2 linked regions of the Drosophila melanogaster genome follow. The gene in region 2 interacts genetically with the main gene of each other region. Each region holds a gene or a part of one and is shown on either strand. Other genes may lie near its edges.

Region 1 (5,682 bases), 6.2 Mb from region 2:
ATTGATTTAATTAACGAGCGGTTAAAAGAATGGCAAAGAAAGTTTATTTATAAGACCGAAGCGATAATGATTATTTAAATATGAAAGAATTCAACTAACTTCATATTAAGATGTCCTTGTTATGTCGCAAAGAATTAATAAAAATAAAAGTGAAAAAACAATTGAAAACCAGAAAAAGCAAACATGACGAATTAATACAAGTTTAATAAATGCGATAAAACAAATGAAATGATATTTTCAAATGGGAACAGTATGGATTTGGTTAGTACTCTTGATGACTAAATTGGACTTGCAGAAATCGAGGCACGAAGACATATTTTTTCACTGCACTCATACGAGTACCGACCAATTTAATTTATTACGCATTTTATTGCACTGTGGCCAATGATCAGTTAAAATAAAGCAACGTTCCACTTTGCTAGTGAACCTTATCAAAAATAAATAATTGATTATGTAACTCTTGCTCTTTAATCTCAACACCCAATTACCTCGTTGCGTCTATTTTTCAATATTTCTTCAATTTAAAGCACATGATTTTGTTGAATTTATAATTTTTATTCACTTAAAAATGTAGCTCCAAATACACTTATAATTTTACGGTGTTTAATATATGTATTTATCTTTAAATGTATGTGTGTATGTGTATCGTTAATAATTATGTTTATAGAAACTCATATATCGGAGCCACTCTACCGACAATGCACGAATGATTAGTGTGAGGCGCGGAATAGTTCGCCAATTAAAATGGTTTCGGATTAGGCGAGCCCAAATCCAAATGGGAACCTTCTCCTACTGCACGTATCCGCGACCAAGAGTAAGGATGGTATCAAAGAAGTGAATATTGAATCGGGTATGTCATCTGATTTCGCCATCGGCTGGATGTCTTAGCCAATGGTTGCTGTAGTAAGTTACCGCGTCCAGGATGCGAATGTGATTGGTTTTGCTTGCTCGGTTTTACGGAAAAAATTCATTTAAAAAGTTCCATTTTGTGGTTTTGTTTTGCGGTGTAAAACTAGAAATCTAACTGTAAAGATCATCGTCGCCGTTGTCGCCGGGCGAGTTAACTGGCAAGTTGTTACCAGATCCTGAGGTGTTGCCGGTTTGACCGGGGAATCTGCAATAACATATACACTATCATCAGTAACCTGGATTCCAACAAGAAATGCCTTTCAATTCTCACCTGAAGTTCTGTCCGAATCCACGGGACTGCTGCAAAGTCTGGGCAAACATCTCGTACTTCCTGATGTCATTATCGGACACCGAACGGCGAGCGAACTTCATGGCCTCCTCGAAGTGGGCGCTAGTAATCTCCGGCACTGGATCGTCCTCGTCCATCTGATTATATGGGTAAATAGTCAAACATAAACATTCTTATTTTTTGCGCTAAGCTAAATGACTTACGTCCATCGCGGAGTTCTGATTTTCGGCGCGCTCCTTCTCGCGACGAATTTCAGCCTCGATGGCCTGTCGGATGGCCAGCTTGCAAGCCCGCTGGCAGATCTCGGTCAGATCGGCGCCAGAGAAGCCCTGCGTCACCTTGGCGATGTAGGTAAGGTCTACTTCCTTGGCCAGCGGCGACTTGCGCAAGTTAGCCTTCAGGATAGCCTCACGCGATTTGTCGTCGGGCAGCGGAATATAGATCAACTGATCCAGACGGCCCGGACGGAGGATGGCCGGATCGATAATGTCCGGGCGATTGGTGGCTCCGATGATGAACACATTCTTCTTGGCTCCCATGCCATCCATTTCGGTAAGGATCTGATTGATCACACGATCAGCGGCGCCGCCAGCATCGCCGACATTACCGCCACGGGCTTTGGCGATCGAGTCCAGCTCGTCGAAGAAGAGCACACAAGGAGCCGCCGAGCGGGCCTTATCGAAGATGTCGCGCACGTTGGCCTCAGACTCGCCGAACCACATGGTCAGCAGTTCGGGACCCTTGACTGAGATGAAGTTCGCCTGGCACTCGTTGGCAATGGCCTTGGCCAGCAGCGTCTTACCGCAACCAGGGGGTCCGTAGAAAAGGACACCGCGACTGGGCTGCATGCCAAACTTCAAGAACTTGTCCGGATGCTCCACTGGGTATTGCACCAGCTCCTGCAATTCCTTCTTGACGCTCTCCAGACCTCCGATGTCTGTCCAGGTGGTGTTGGGCACCTCAACAACAGTTTCACGCAGCGCCGATGGACTGGACTTGGTCATAGCGTAGCGGAAGTTCTCCATTGTCACGGCCAGCGACGCCAGCACCTCGGCATCGATCTTATCGTCTTCCAAATCGATGAGGTCCATCTTCTCACGGATTTGCTGAAGGGCAGCCTCAGAGCAGAGTGAAGCCAGATCAGCGCCCACATGTCCGTGGGATTCGGCAGCAATCTGCTCCAGGTCAACATCATCATGCAGCTTCATGTTCTTGGTGTGAATGCGCAGCACCTCCAGCCGTCCAGTGGCATCTGGAATGCCGATGTCAATCTCACGATCAAAACGTCCAAAGCGACGCAGGGCCGGGTCAATGGAGTTGGGCCTGTTGGTAGCAGCCATAACGATCAGATGGGAGCTCTTCTTCATGCCATCCATCAGGGTCAAAAGCTGCGACACAATGCGACGCTCCACCTCACCGTGGGTCTTGTCACGCTTGGGGGCAATAGCGTCGATCTCATCGATGAAGATGATAGCCGGCGAGTTTTTCTCGGCTTCCTCGAAGGCCTTGCGCAGATTCGATTCCGACTCTCCGGCCAGTTTGGACATGATCTCCGGTCCGTTAATCAGGAAGAAAAAGGCTCCGGTCTCGTTGGCCACAGCCCTGGCAATCAGGGTCTTACCGGTACCCGGGGGACCGTACATAAGAATACCACGCGGTGGCTTCACACCAATGGCCTTGAAGAGCGATGGATGCCGCAAAGGCAACTCAACCATCTCCTTGATCTGGGCCAGCTGCTTGCGGCAACCACCGATATCATCGTAGCCAACGGCGTTTAGGGACTCCTCCTCCTCCTCGCGCTTAATTGGATCACCGTCGCAGAAGATTACCGTCTCGGGAGCTACGATGCAGTAGGGCTCCGGGTCGGTCAGCACCACCTTGAACTCAATAGGACGCATGGCGGCGCGCACAATAAAGTTGTCGCCCATGTGGATTGGCCGATAGGCCTCTAGGAAGTACGGCTTCAGATAGATCTCGAACAGGTTGCCGGTAACGCCTTCGGTGCTTTCGTCGATGGGCAGGATGCGCACCCGTTTGCCGTACTTGACGTCCGGGCAGGACTGCACGGAAACCACATCTGAAAGATGGACGCACAGGTTGTTGCGCACCACGCGGTTCATGCGGATCTTCTCGTCGGGACAGGTGTCGTCCGAGAGCACGATGCACACCGTCTCCTTTCGGCGCTTGCCCTTCAGAATCACGGTGTCGCCACGGAAGAGCTGCAGCTCATCCATCTTCGCCTGATATAGTTTAAGGGGGAAAAAGAACAGCCAAGTCATGTGAATTAGCCATGCGATGACGTGGCCTTTGGGAGAGTGAATCTTACCTGCGATAGCGACACCACAGAGTTGTCGTCATTCTGCGCCTCTTCCACAATCAGTCGGTTGGGACGGTCCTTGCGCTTCAGGATCGCCGTAGCCAGATCTTCACTGTAGGGTAGAAGAAAAAAGCATCGCGTAAGACTCGTCGCTAAAGAAATATCTTATGTCTTATATATAATTTGGCCTAACCGCTTATCGAACGAGTCTTTCGGCTTCATTTTCTCATCCTGCTCGCTGTGATATCCCCGCATAAAGTCCCTCGTATCCCCATCATGATCCATCTTATCGTTCTTGCCGCCAGACATTGTTTTTTTTGTTTTTTTTTTTGTTTTTTTGGATTGCCTTTTTTGTTAGTTTTGATAAATTTATGGAAACTACTTTCACTAGTAATACGGAATGGAACTAAGCATCTGGATAATTAGGCCTGCCGAATCATTTTTCGTTGCTAACGTGATGATGTCGATCAATCTTTATTGATAGATTTTTGAACATAAAAGGTTATCACCCTATATCGTTCATAAAAATCTATATTAATCGGAATAATAGTACAATTGTTTATTGTCTTTAGTTATAAAAGTATGTTTGTATTTCTTGTATTCGATGCCAACTTTTTTGGCGCCATTTGTTATAATAATTTCTAAACTTTGAGGTAAATTATGCATTTATTGTTACTTAAACGATATGTTTTTTTTTACTTCTGGCGAGTTGAGGGAGCACAAAGACTTTTCTAGAATTAATGCAATATCAAAAAAGGTATTACTAATAGGTAGCATTGAAATAAGTGGTTTCGGCATATAGTTTAGGATTTTCGCGATTTATTATAGAAATAGCTGCCATATATGTATGCAGTATTGTTTTTCGTATCCAAAGTTATAACTACAACAACCGGAAAATTGTATCCTCCAGCAAAGGATGACTTGTATTTTTGGGACAACAAAGGGAAATCGTAAGTTTTCAAGCGGCAACAACAACTGCAAGGGCAGTAACACCAACAACAACAACAACGTACTGCAAATGGCGATTCTCGCTGGCGTTTTTTTTTCTTCGGTTTTTAGGTTTGCCCTAGTTTCGCAACATTTTGCAACCGAGCAGTGGAAAAGTCGCGGTAAATGTCTTTGTCTCGCGGAAATCGGCGAAAGCCTTTCACAATTAAATAATAGTATGTCTGCGATGTGGCCCTTGCGTATTTTTTTCGGCTCAATGACTGAGCGAAATTTGTGAATTTCGACTTGGACCGACACAGTCGGCGCCTATTTCGGCGTCCAGTTCACTTACCCCTTGGAATCTGCCATGATAAACTAGTTGACGTTGAACTTTTTAACTTAATTGTACAATTCGGCGCGACTTGGACTATTCGTTGAGCTGGAAATCGGCACTTTTAGTCAAATTCAAAGATGAGGCAGCAGAAACAGATTGGTGATGTGCGTTACCGGACATTCATCGATTGGGCTTAGAAAATATCGATTACACGCTGCGATGGTTTGTAAAAGAAATTGAAGTGGCAACGCTAAAGGAAAGAGTGGCAATGTGTGCAGGTGCCTAACTTGGCTATGCTCGCTGGCAGATGATCGCTGCTATGAAGCCATGCGTGATAACGTAGCTGCTTACGTTTTTATTGAAAAAGTGCAGCATACTTTTCGGCTATGTCTATATCTAAAATATATGTAGGAAGTATGTAGAACTCAATCCGTCTATTTCACTTAGTTGTAGAAGTTTTGGTAGTAAGAAAAAATCTTCATTCATTCATTTCCCTAGAACACTCGGCCATCAACCTGTCCCTACAATAACTGCTCAATCGCAGCTTATGCTCGTAAAAACTTTTTAGTATTCATGGTTTTGGCATTAACGATGCCAATTATGGCAGCGTTTTATTTAGCTTTACTTTCAGTTTTATTTTTTAGTACTTAAGAGAGTGACAGCGACGTCGGCAGAGAGGAGAGCAGCGTCATTGGGCGTGGTCGCTGCCCCCAAAAGAATGGGAGCAAACTCCATAGAAACGCAGAACGAATTCAACCAATCGCCTGCAAGTCTCTTGTCTTCGAAGAGCGCCTGCGCAGAGAGCAAAAGAAAGTGGCGAGCGGAAACCAGTTTTTGTGACGATGAGGGTGACGATGAAGAGGAGTGGGGAGTCGGGGTGGCTGATAAAGATGGCCGTCGCCTTCC
Region 2 (7,933 bases):
CTTTCTCTTCCTCTCACTCCCCCTTTCGTTTGAATTCGCTTGCTTATTCTCTCTCTCCCGCTCTGGCAAACAGACCTTGCACTTGCCTTTGCTTGTTTATTTGCGTGTTTCATTGATTAGCACACACTCACACACGCGCCGGCGAGCAAATGCAATTGCAATTTCAAGTGCAAAAAGAGAGAGGAAAAAGGAAAACAATAGCCAAAAAAGCTTTGAACTCCAGCTTTAACCCCACGACGGGCATCGAATGCAGGGACTAACCGTTAAGTGCCGAGACTTTTTGCTTTGCCTTTCTTTAACCCACTGCTGGAAACGTGCAAAAAGCTCGTCACTAGATAATAGAAACAATTTGCAGTGTCAGGAGCGCTTTCCACACATTCTGGGAAATCGCAACGGGTCTTGAATATCTAAAAGAATGCCGCAGCAAAAAAGCCCAAAACGGAAAACTGTAAAAAAAAAACAAAAACAACTACACAAGCACAACGAAGAAAATAAAACGAGATTTCTTGTGCATTGGCAGAACTGGTTTGCCCAGTAATAGGTGTTGTTGGCCTATGGGGGAACGGGAAGTACATATATGCAAGGAATCGGCCAGTTCGGGGACTCGACTTGGCTAAAAATCGATCAATTCTACTTTTGGCGAGGGGGAGGACTCCAAACATGCGCGAAAATCCACAGACATCGTCACTCGCACACACACACACACTCGCGCACGCACACCAACGCACTCGATGTGTCATCGCTTTCTGGTGGTTGTAAATAAAATGTAATCATAGTTCGTTTCTCCACTTATTTACTGATCGTCTTTTTGTTCAACACACTACTTTTTTTGTGCATAATTTGCATAACTCTTTCGCTTGTTTTTTCATTCTCTTTTCAATAACAAACACAATAACAACAACAGTTTGAACGAAAATACTGTTACGACGGCCATCTTGGATAGAGAGAGGGGGCCAAGAGAAAGAAATGTCCCAAAGGCAATATGCATAATGGGGAAAAAGGACAAATATCCAAGCGCACATATAGTATATTATATTTTCCGACTCCAACCGACATGCTTGGTACATAATGCGCGAACTAACACTTTGCCATTGGCAGTTTTGTACATATGACGTTTTTTTTTCTTCATTTCTCCCAATAGCCCATTACACGGGTTGGTTGCGAAAAATCCATTTTGCTTGGGTGTTCTATTTACAACGCGGCGACTCGGTGTTTGTTCTTATTATGCAGCGAACGTTACTTACAACAATTTAGTATTTCATATATTTATAATTACGCTTATTTATTTATGTTTAATCGAAATATACGAAAAGAATTACGCAGAAAAGTGACGAGCGGACGAAAATGCTTCGATTAGTGTGACCGCAGTGGAAGCAGCTCAAAAAACATCACGGGACTATCGATGACAGCGATTAGCTATCGATGTGACTAGGAATGTAGAAAAATGTTAATAAAAATATGTATAATAACTTCTAAATACTTTTTATATCTTATATAAGACCTAAGGACTGAAACCATTGAGTAAAGAACGAGTTGCCATAACTTAAGCCCTACTTCCATGCAAGCGCAGTGTGAACAGCTTAAAAAATTGGCGCGCTATTTAAAATGCTGATAAGGAAATGGACCTTCGTCAGCTTTTTTTTTGCGGAACCACAACGCCTATCCGTGAGTGAACAAAATGGGTTTCCAATTATTTATGCCATATAAGTATTGCTATTTATTTATAACACATCCCAATTCGATAGTCAACACTGCAGTTTGCTAATTGTAAACCGACTTTGTTGTTATCTTACACACACATTCGCGATGGGAGTAAACTTTCCTTATCACCGCTCACACAGCGCCAGAACACAACACAACCGATTTATGGAGTGCTCCCTTTGGCGCTCAGTATTCGAGAATCGCTCAGCGGAAACGGTTATTAGTTTACTGATTTTCGGGCGACACACACACATTCGTTATTCATAGTTGGTGCGCCCAAATATTCGCGAAACAGCAACAACAATTAGCAACCATCTGTCACCTGTGAGTGCAGCGTATCGTACACAATCTCAATCGCTCATTGGGAAAATTGCCGAATAATGTAAATCATTTGCCAAATTTGGGCACTCGTTGTGTGTTATCAGTGTTTGAGATTTAATCAGCCATTTTGTACGCATTACATTATATCGATATAGCCGCTATATCAGCCAATTCTATGGCTCTATAGATATATGTTAAATATGATTCAGTTTAGCAATGCTTGCTAATCCTGCGGTAGCCGATCCTCTTGGCCACATTAGCGTTTAACTGGCGAAATCGAAAGCCATTTATGAGCCAGCACCGTATGGCTGTTATCAGACCGACAACTCTGATGATTATATGCCGATGATAAAGGCCGCTTGTTCGTTTGTAAACGTTAAATTGTTATTATTGGCTTACTTGGTGTTTTGGAAAACCTCGGCGCGCTGCGATTTGTTTAAACAATCGGGCACAGACATTGGCAAATTGTCAACGTTCCATTGCCACACTTTCTGATAACCAAACCCATTAATAATGATCGGAAAGTGTCATTTTTTTTATTTGCTCCAAAGAAGAGCTGTCTTCTTCGCTTGCTTCCGTTGCCGGCAGCGACAACTGAAATTAGTAATTAGTGCTGCCAATTTGAGGGTACGGAATTCTTTCGATTAGCAAGCTCTTCGATGACGCACTCAGCATATCGGCAATATAGTCTATATATCTATATCTATATATCTATTGCTATACCCATTCCATTTGCGACTGCGTGATGGGATTGCAAACAGAGCCGCGATTCGAATTCGAGGATCGTCGTCGGCGATTCTCTGCGATTTTAGCGAATCTGTCGTTAATTTTGTTCGATTATTATTGGGTTGTCCAACAAGCCAGATTACTATCTGTATCTATATCTGCTGGCCACTTCTCCAGCCTGTGAAGTGGCTTGATAAGATTCTAGGGATCCAAAAAATCCAACAAAAAATTCAGAGAATATTGCGACATGACATTGCTGGAGTTTCCAACTTCATTCTCATGAATTTCCGCCGCATTAAAAGGCTTTGGGTGTAAGCCACGACATTGAGATAACCCCCTTTTTATTTTTTTTTTTTGGTATCTCGACCATTTCGTTTATTTTTTTACATTTTCCACTTACGTGTGGTATTTGTGAAATGATCATAAATCGCTCGCTGGAAGTTGTATGTATTACATTTAATTTTTGTTGCGCTGGTCAGCAACTCGGGGAGATCCAGAATCGTTTCCCACATCGCGAGATATGCAAAAGTTCGGCGGCCACTAATTGTTTATGACCAATCACCTTTCGTTTGCCCACGTCCAGTGAACTCTTATTTGTTGTGTTTTGTGTTTATAAACAAATGAACAGTGTGCATGCGAGCCAAGTGCTTTGCAATTGGGCGAGGTTAATGCTTCGCGGAAAATCCCGCGCAGGAACCGGTTGCATTAGCTCCCCGCCGATAACAATTTGTTATTAATAATTAATAACGCATCATTACTCACCGCAAAAAGCAGCAGAAGCAATGAGGCCCTAAGATGGAAGCCACAAATTGGAAGCAATCGCATCGAAGGATTCACGCACTAATCCTTATCCTTTGGATCGCTGGGGTGCAAGGACAAACCGTTGGTTCCCTGGTGGCAGTGAGTGAGAGCCAGGAACTGGCGGAGAGTAAGTATTACTCTTTGAAAAATAAGCATATGGATGTCACTGATAATATGATATTAATATAAGATACACTGATATAAGATACTTTTCAAATCCTAAGTGCATCCAGTTTTGTTTTAGCCTATAAAAAGCTATATGTATTACCAATATTCCAGAGGTGGAGGTGACTGTGGTTTCTACGGTCTACACACTCGGCTTTAGCATCTCCAACGAGGCGGACTACTCCATCGATAAGGTGATCTGTCGCAATGGATCCGGATCGGAAACCGAGGCCAACGCAGCGCACGTTTGGTTCGTAGAATGTTTTGAGTGAAATGATATCGCGGACTAACATAATGCCTATGATTTCCAGTGAAAACCTTAATCCTTGCACCTTCTACACATCGGTGGTTTCATTCCGTTCGAATGTCTCCGGCAAACCACCGCCTTCTGACCAAACCATCTATGCCTACACTGAATATAAGCGTATGTTTATATAAAAATGCTAACTATGAAAACCATAAACCATATCATCTTTAATCGCAGAGCCCAAGACCACAGTGACCTCAGTGGTGGCCACAGCGAACACCATCAAAGTGACCTGGCAGACGAACGACCGCGCCTGTGTGGAGTCCTTTGGCATCACGGCAAAGGCGACGGACTACACCAAATCCTTTCAGCTGCTAAACGATAAAAGTTCTCAGACTTTCGTGAATTTAAGCGCCTGCCTAACGCACACGATCACCCTGGACACGCGAAACAACGCTAGCGTTGTGGTGGACACGGATGCCACCGATGTGGACACACAGTACGCGGAGCCCGGCGATCTCGTCATGAACGTAACGAACCTAGCCAGTGGCATCACGATGATCACGTGGGGAGATCCCTCCGAGAAGAACTGCATCAGTAACTATGTCTTCAAGTGGCAACGCAACGATTGCGGAACGGATCAAAATCAGGATACCACCACGGATGTGCCCAGTACGGAAACTACGAACGAGATTGACTACGTTACCACCACACCAATGGAGACCACACCCGATACGCCCAGTGATGAAGGTAGACTCTAGGTTCCTCTTATAACCTCTTTTGAAATACATATGTGTTTTATTCTTCCCATCAGTTAAGTGCGAGTGGACCGATGTCTCCTCCGATGGCAAGCTGAGGGAGTACCTCCTGACCGATCTTCAAGGATGTGATTTGTACACCTTTCAGGTTTTCATCAACGAGAACAGCACGGCCAAGGCTTCTCAGACTTTTACTTCGGCAGAAAAGTGTGAGTGCAACTAGATAGACCAGCTATCCAAGTAAACCATAAATCACCATAATTCAAATGTTTAGTGGTCAGTGCCGTCTATGAACCCAGTCCCACCGCCTATCCCACCCAGTTGCATTGGACTTGGTTCTCTCCACAAAATCATCCCAAATGTGTGGCTAACTATAGTGTAACGCTGACCGGACCCATTCAACGATCGGAAAACAAAACTATGAATGTGATCACAGAGGAGACATTCGCTATCTTCGACGACCTTGATCCGTGTGGAATATATTTGGTGGAGATTGTGCCCAATCAGCTAAATGGAAGCGCTGGCACCAAGTACCAGGAGCAGAGCACCGTGGGCGAGGATCGTGAGTGCAAGTGCGCTTCAACTCATCCAACATCTATCTATCTACTATGATTATCTTCTTGTAGAGCCATCTGTGATTCAAGATCCCGTCGTGGAAGCAGAAGCCTACTCGATGGAGGTGAGCTGGAAGACGCCCGAGTACGCCGATCTCTGCATCGATGGCTACCGATTGTCCGGCTGGATGGAGGACGATAAGCTGGTTGAGGTTGAAGCACTTAGTATTACCACCCAGAATACGACGGTTGTTTTCGACAAGAATCTGCTGGCCTGTCAGGTGTACATCATTCAGATAATCCCATACACCAAGGAGAACCTCGATGGTCAGCTGAGACAGGTTGGTGTGGAGACCAAAGCAGCTATAGTTGATTACACTAAGGTACTAAGGACTATTTTACGTATATTTCGTATCCATTTGACCATTTCTTACTGACTGCAAGCATTTTATTGAAGGTCAAGCTGGAAATGAAGAATGCTGGCTCCGAATTTATTGATTTAATCGCCTTCAATGCGGACTACAACAATTCCTGTCCGACGATCTTTGCGCTCTTCACGTGCAATGCCACCACCCAGGTGCGAAATCCATACGCGGAGCGTTATGTGGAGGGACATAGCAAACAAGGTGGGTGTACTGGTCATCCAGTCATTCGGTATCCAGATGGCTATTCTAATTCATATTCCATTCTCAGGTTTTAATGCCAGTCTAAGTCCACTTTCCCCCTACGCCACCTACGTTTGCAAAGTAATACTCTACAATGTGGCAGGACCTTCCGAACCAGTTGTCGATGCTGATATGCACACCACAACCTACTGTAAGACCTACATTATATACATATGTATATATGAAGTTCATATGTAAGTTGATCTGTGTTTTCAGTTCCCGAGCAGCCGGAGAGTGTGATGCTGGAGAAGAGCACTGTCAGCAGCCTGCTGTTCAACTGGCAACCGCCCACCTACACAAACGGACCCATCAAGTACTACCAGGCATTCCTGATGCGTCACGAGGCCAGCTACTTTGTGCCCGCGGATTGCGCGATAGTCGAGCAGGACACCAAGTCGGAGACCAAGGGTGATCCTAGTGTAAACTTCACGGGTCTGGCTCCAGCTGTGCGATACATGATGCAAGTTGCGGCACAAAATGACTTCGGAATGGGCGTCTATACAGAACCCGTAATTGGTATCACTTTGCCAGCAGGTGAGTTAAGATGAATAGATGGAATATCTTTATATGAGTAATATGAGTAATGTAAATATTTCGTATCTTGTAGTATCCGATAGCGTGACCCAGTTGACCGTACTAACCCAGGGTCCGGTGAACAATAACGCCGTGTACGAAGCGAACGTGACTATCACGTGGAAGGTGCCCTGCAAGTCCAATGGCGATATCGAGTATTTCCAGCTGGCTTTCAATGGCACACGAAATAACTTCGCTCCAGTTTCATTTGAACGGCGGGTGGAACTGGACACGGGGAATAAGCAGGGACGGATGTCCTACACGGAAACGGAAATGCAGCCACAGTTCGACTATACGGTTGAGGTGTCCGTAAAGAATCGCGATGTGGAACAGTTGAGCAGCAGTGTACCGGGTAGCTGGCAATCGCCAGCGGGACGTAAGTATCGAAATAACGGAAAAGTAATCCGTAATCCATTGATTCCCATTCGTGTATCTTCTCTTTCAGTGCCCACCATTCCGAGTGATGAGCTTATCAAGCAAATGCGCGCCAATGTCGAGGAGACATCTAATCCAACGAAAACGGCCATTGTTCGCCTTCCAGCCGACATCATGACATCCGCATCCGGCGACATCAAGTGGATGGCACTGATGATCTCGCAAAAGAACTGTGCTGGAGTTCCACACCTCAAATACGATGTCAGCAGCGATTGGCCAAAGGTTCTATCCTATCAAGAGGCCGGCGCAGATGGCACAGGTGACTGCAGTCTGGAGTACCAAACCACCGAGGAGCGCTGGCATCCCGAACCCGTTCAACGTCAGCGAAGGGATGGAGAGGTGACATCCGATGAGGAAATTGTTTTTACCATCGGATTGGACAAGTGTTCGGAGGTTCAGAAAACGTATTGCAATGGACCTTTGTTACCAGACACGGATTACAATGTTGTGGTGAGACTGTTCACCGCATCTGGTTATAGCGATGCCGCCGTACTCAACTTTAAGACCAAGGCGGCCATCAAGGTGACCCTGATCCTGGTGAGCGTTTGCAGTTGCCTGCTGCTGGCCTTCGTACTTGGTTTGACGGTTCTCTGGGTGCGCAAGCGATTGGCCTGGTAAGTCAACGATGGCAATCTTCACGAGAGAAAAAAGAACTTAACTTCGTTTGGTGCAGGAAACGTGATTCTGGTCAGGGTATCGAGGATCCATTTGGCAATGTCATTGCCAAGAACTTTGCCATCTTTTATACCGAAGTTGCCAAGCCGGAGAAACTGGCCAGGGAGTTCAAGGAGATCACCGTTGTGGCCTTGGAGCTCAGCTATTCCGCCTCCGAATTGGGTTGCCACAAGAATCGCTATGCGGACATATTTCCTTGTGAGTAACTTCAATGTAGCAATAACCATTATGGGAAACCACATTTTTTCCCATTTAATAGATGACAAGAATCGCGTGATTCTGGACATCGATGCGGAGGGATCGGACTACATC

What was found. Genes that interact genetically often act in the same process or in processes that back each other up.
Region 1: of Ptp52F (region 2) and TER94, changing one suppresses a phenotype caused by changing the other (phenotypic suppression), as found in Drosophila melanogaster (one study listed by BioGRID).

Annotation. Positions count from the first base shown.
Region 1 is NT_033778.4:9,988,416-9,994,097, reverse strand, and holds TER94 (transitional endoplasmic reticulum 94), read right to left. Parts: upstream 3,896-5,682; 5' UTR 3,801-3,895; coding exon 3,709-3,800; intron 3,628-3,708; coding exon 3,525-3,627; intron 3,439-3,524; coding exon 1,402-3,438; intron 1,336-1,401; coding exon 1,181-1,335; intron 1,115-1,180; coding exon 1,021-1,114; 3' UTR 539-1,020; downstream 1-538.
Region 2 is NT_033778.4:16,172,264-16,180,196, reverse strand, and holds the start of Ptp52F (protein tyrosine phosphatase 52F), read left to right. Parts: upstream 1-1,889; 5' UTR 1,890-2,025; intron 2,026-3,522; 5' UTR 3,523-3,543; coding exon 3,544-3,676; intron 3,677-3,828; coding exon 3,829-3,964; intron 3,965-4,025; coding exon 4,026-4,138; intron 4,139-4,198; coding exon 4,199-4,711; intron 4,712-4,775; coding exon 4,776-4,928; intron 4,929-4,993; coding exon 4,994-5,281; intron 5,282-5,345; coding exon 5,346-5,656; intron 5,657-5,730; coding exon 5,731-5,899; intron 5,900-5,966; coding exon 5,967-6,089; intron 6,090-6,154; coding exon 6,155-6,472; intron 6,473-6,545; coding exon 6,546-6,887; intron 6,888-6,956; coding exon 6,957-7,560; intron 7,561-7,619; coding exon 7,620-7,819; intron 7,820-7,880; coding exon 7,881-7,933.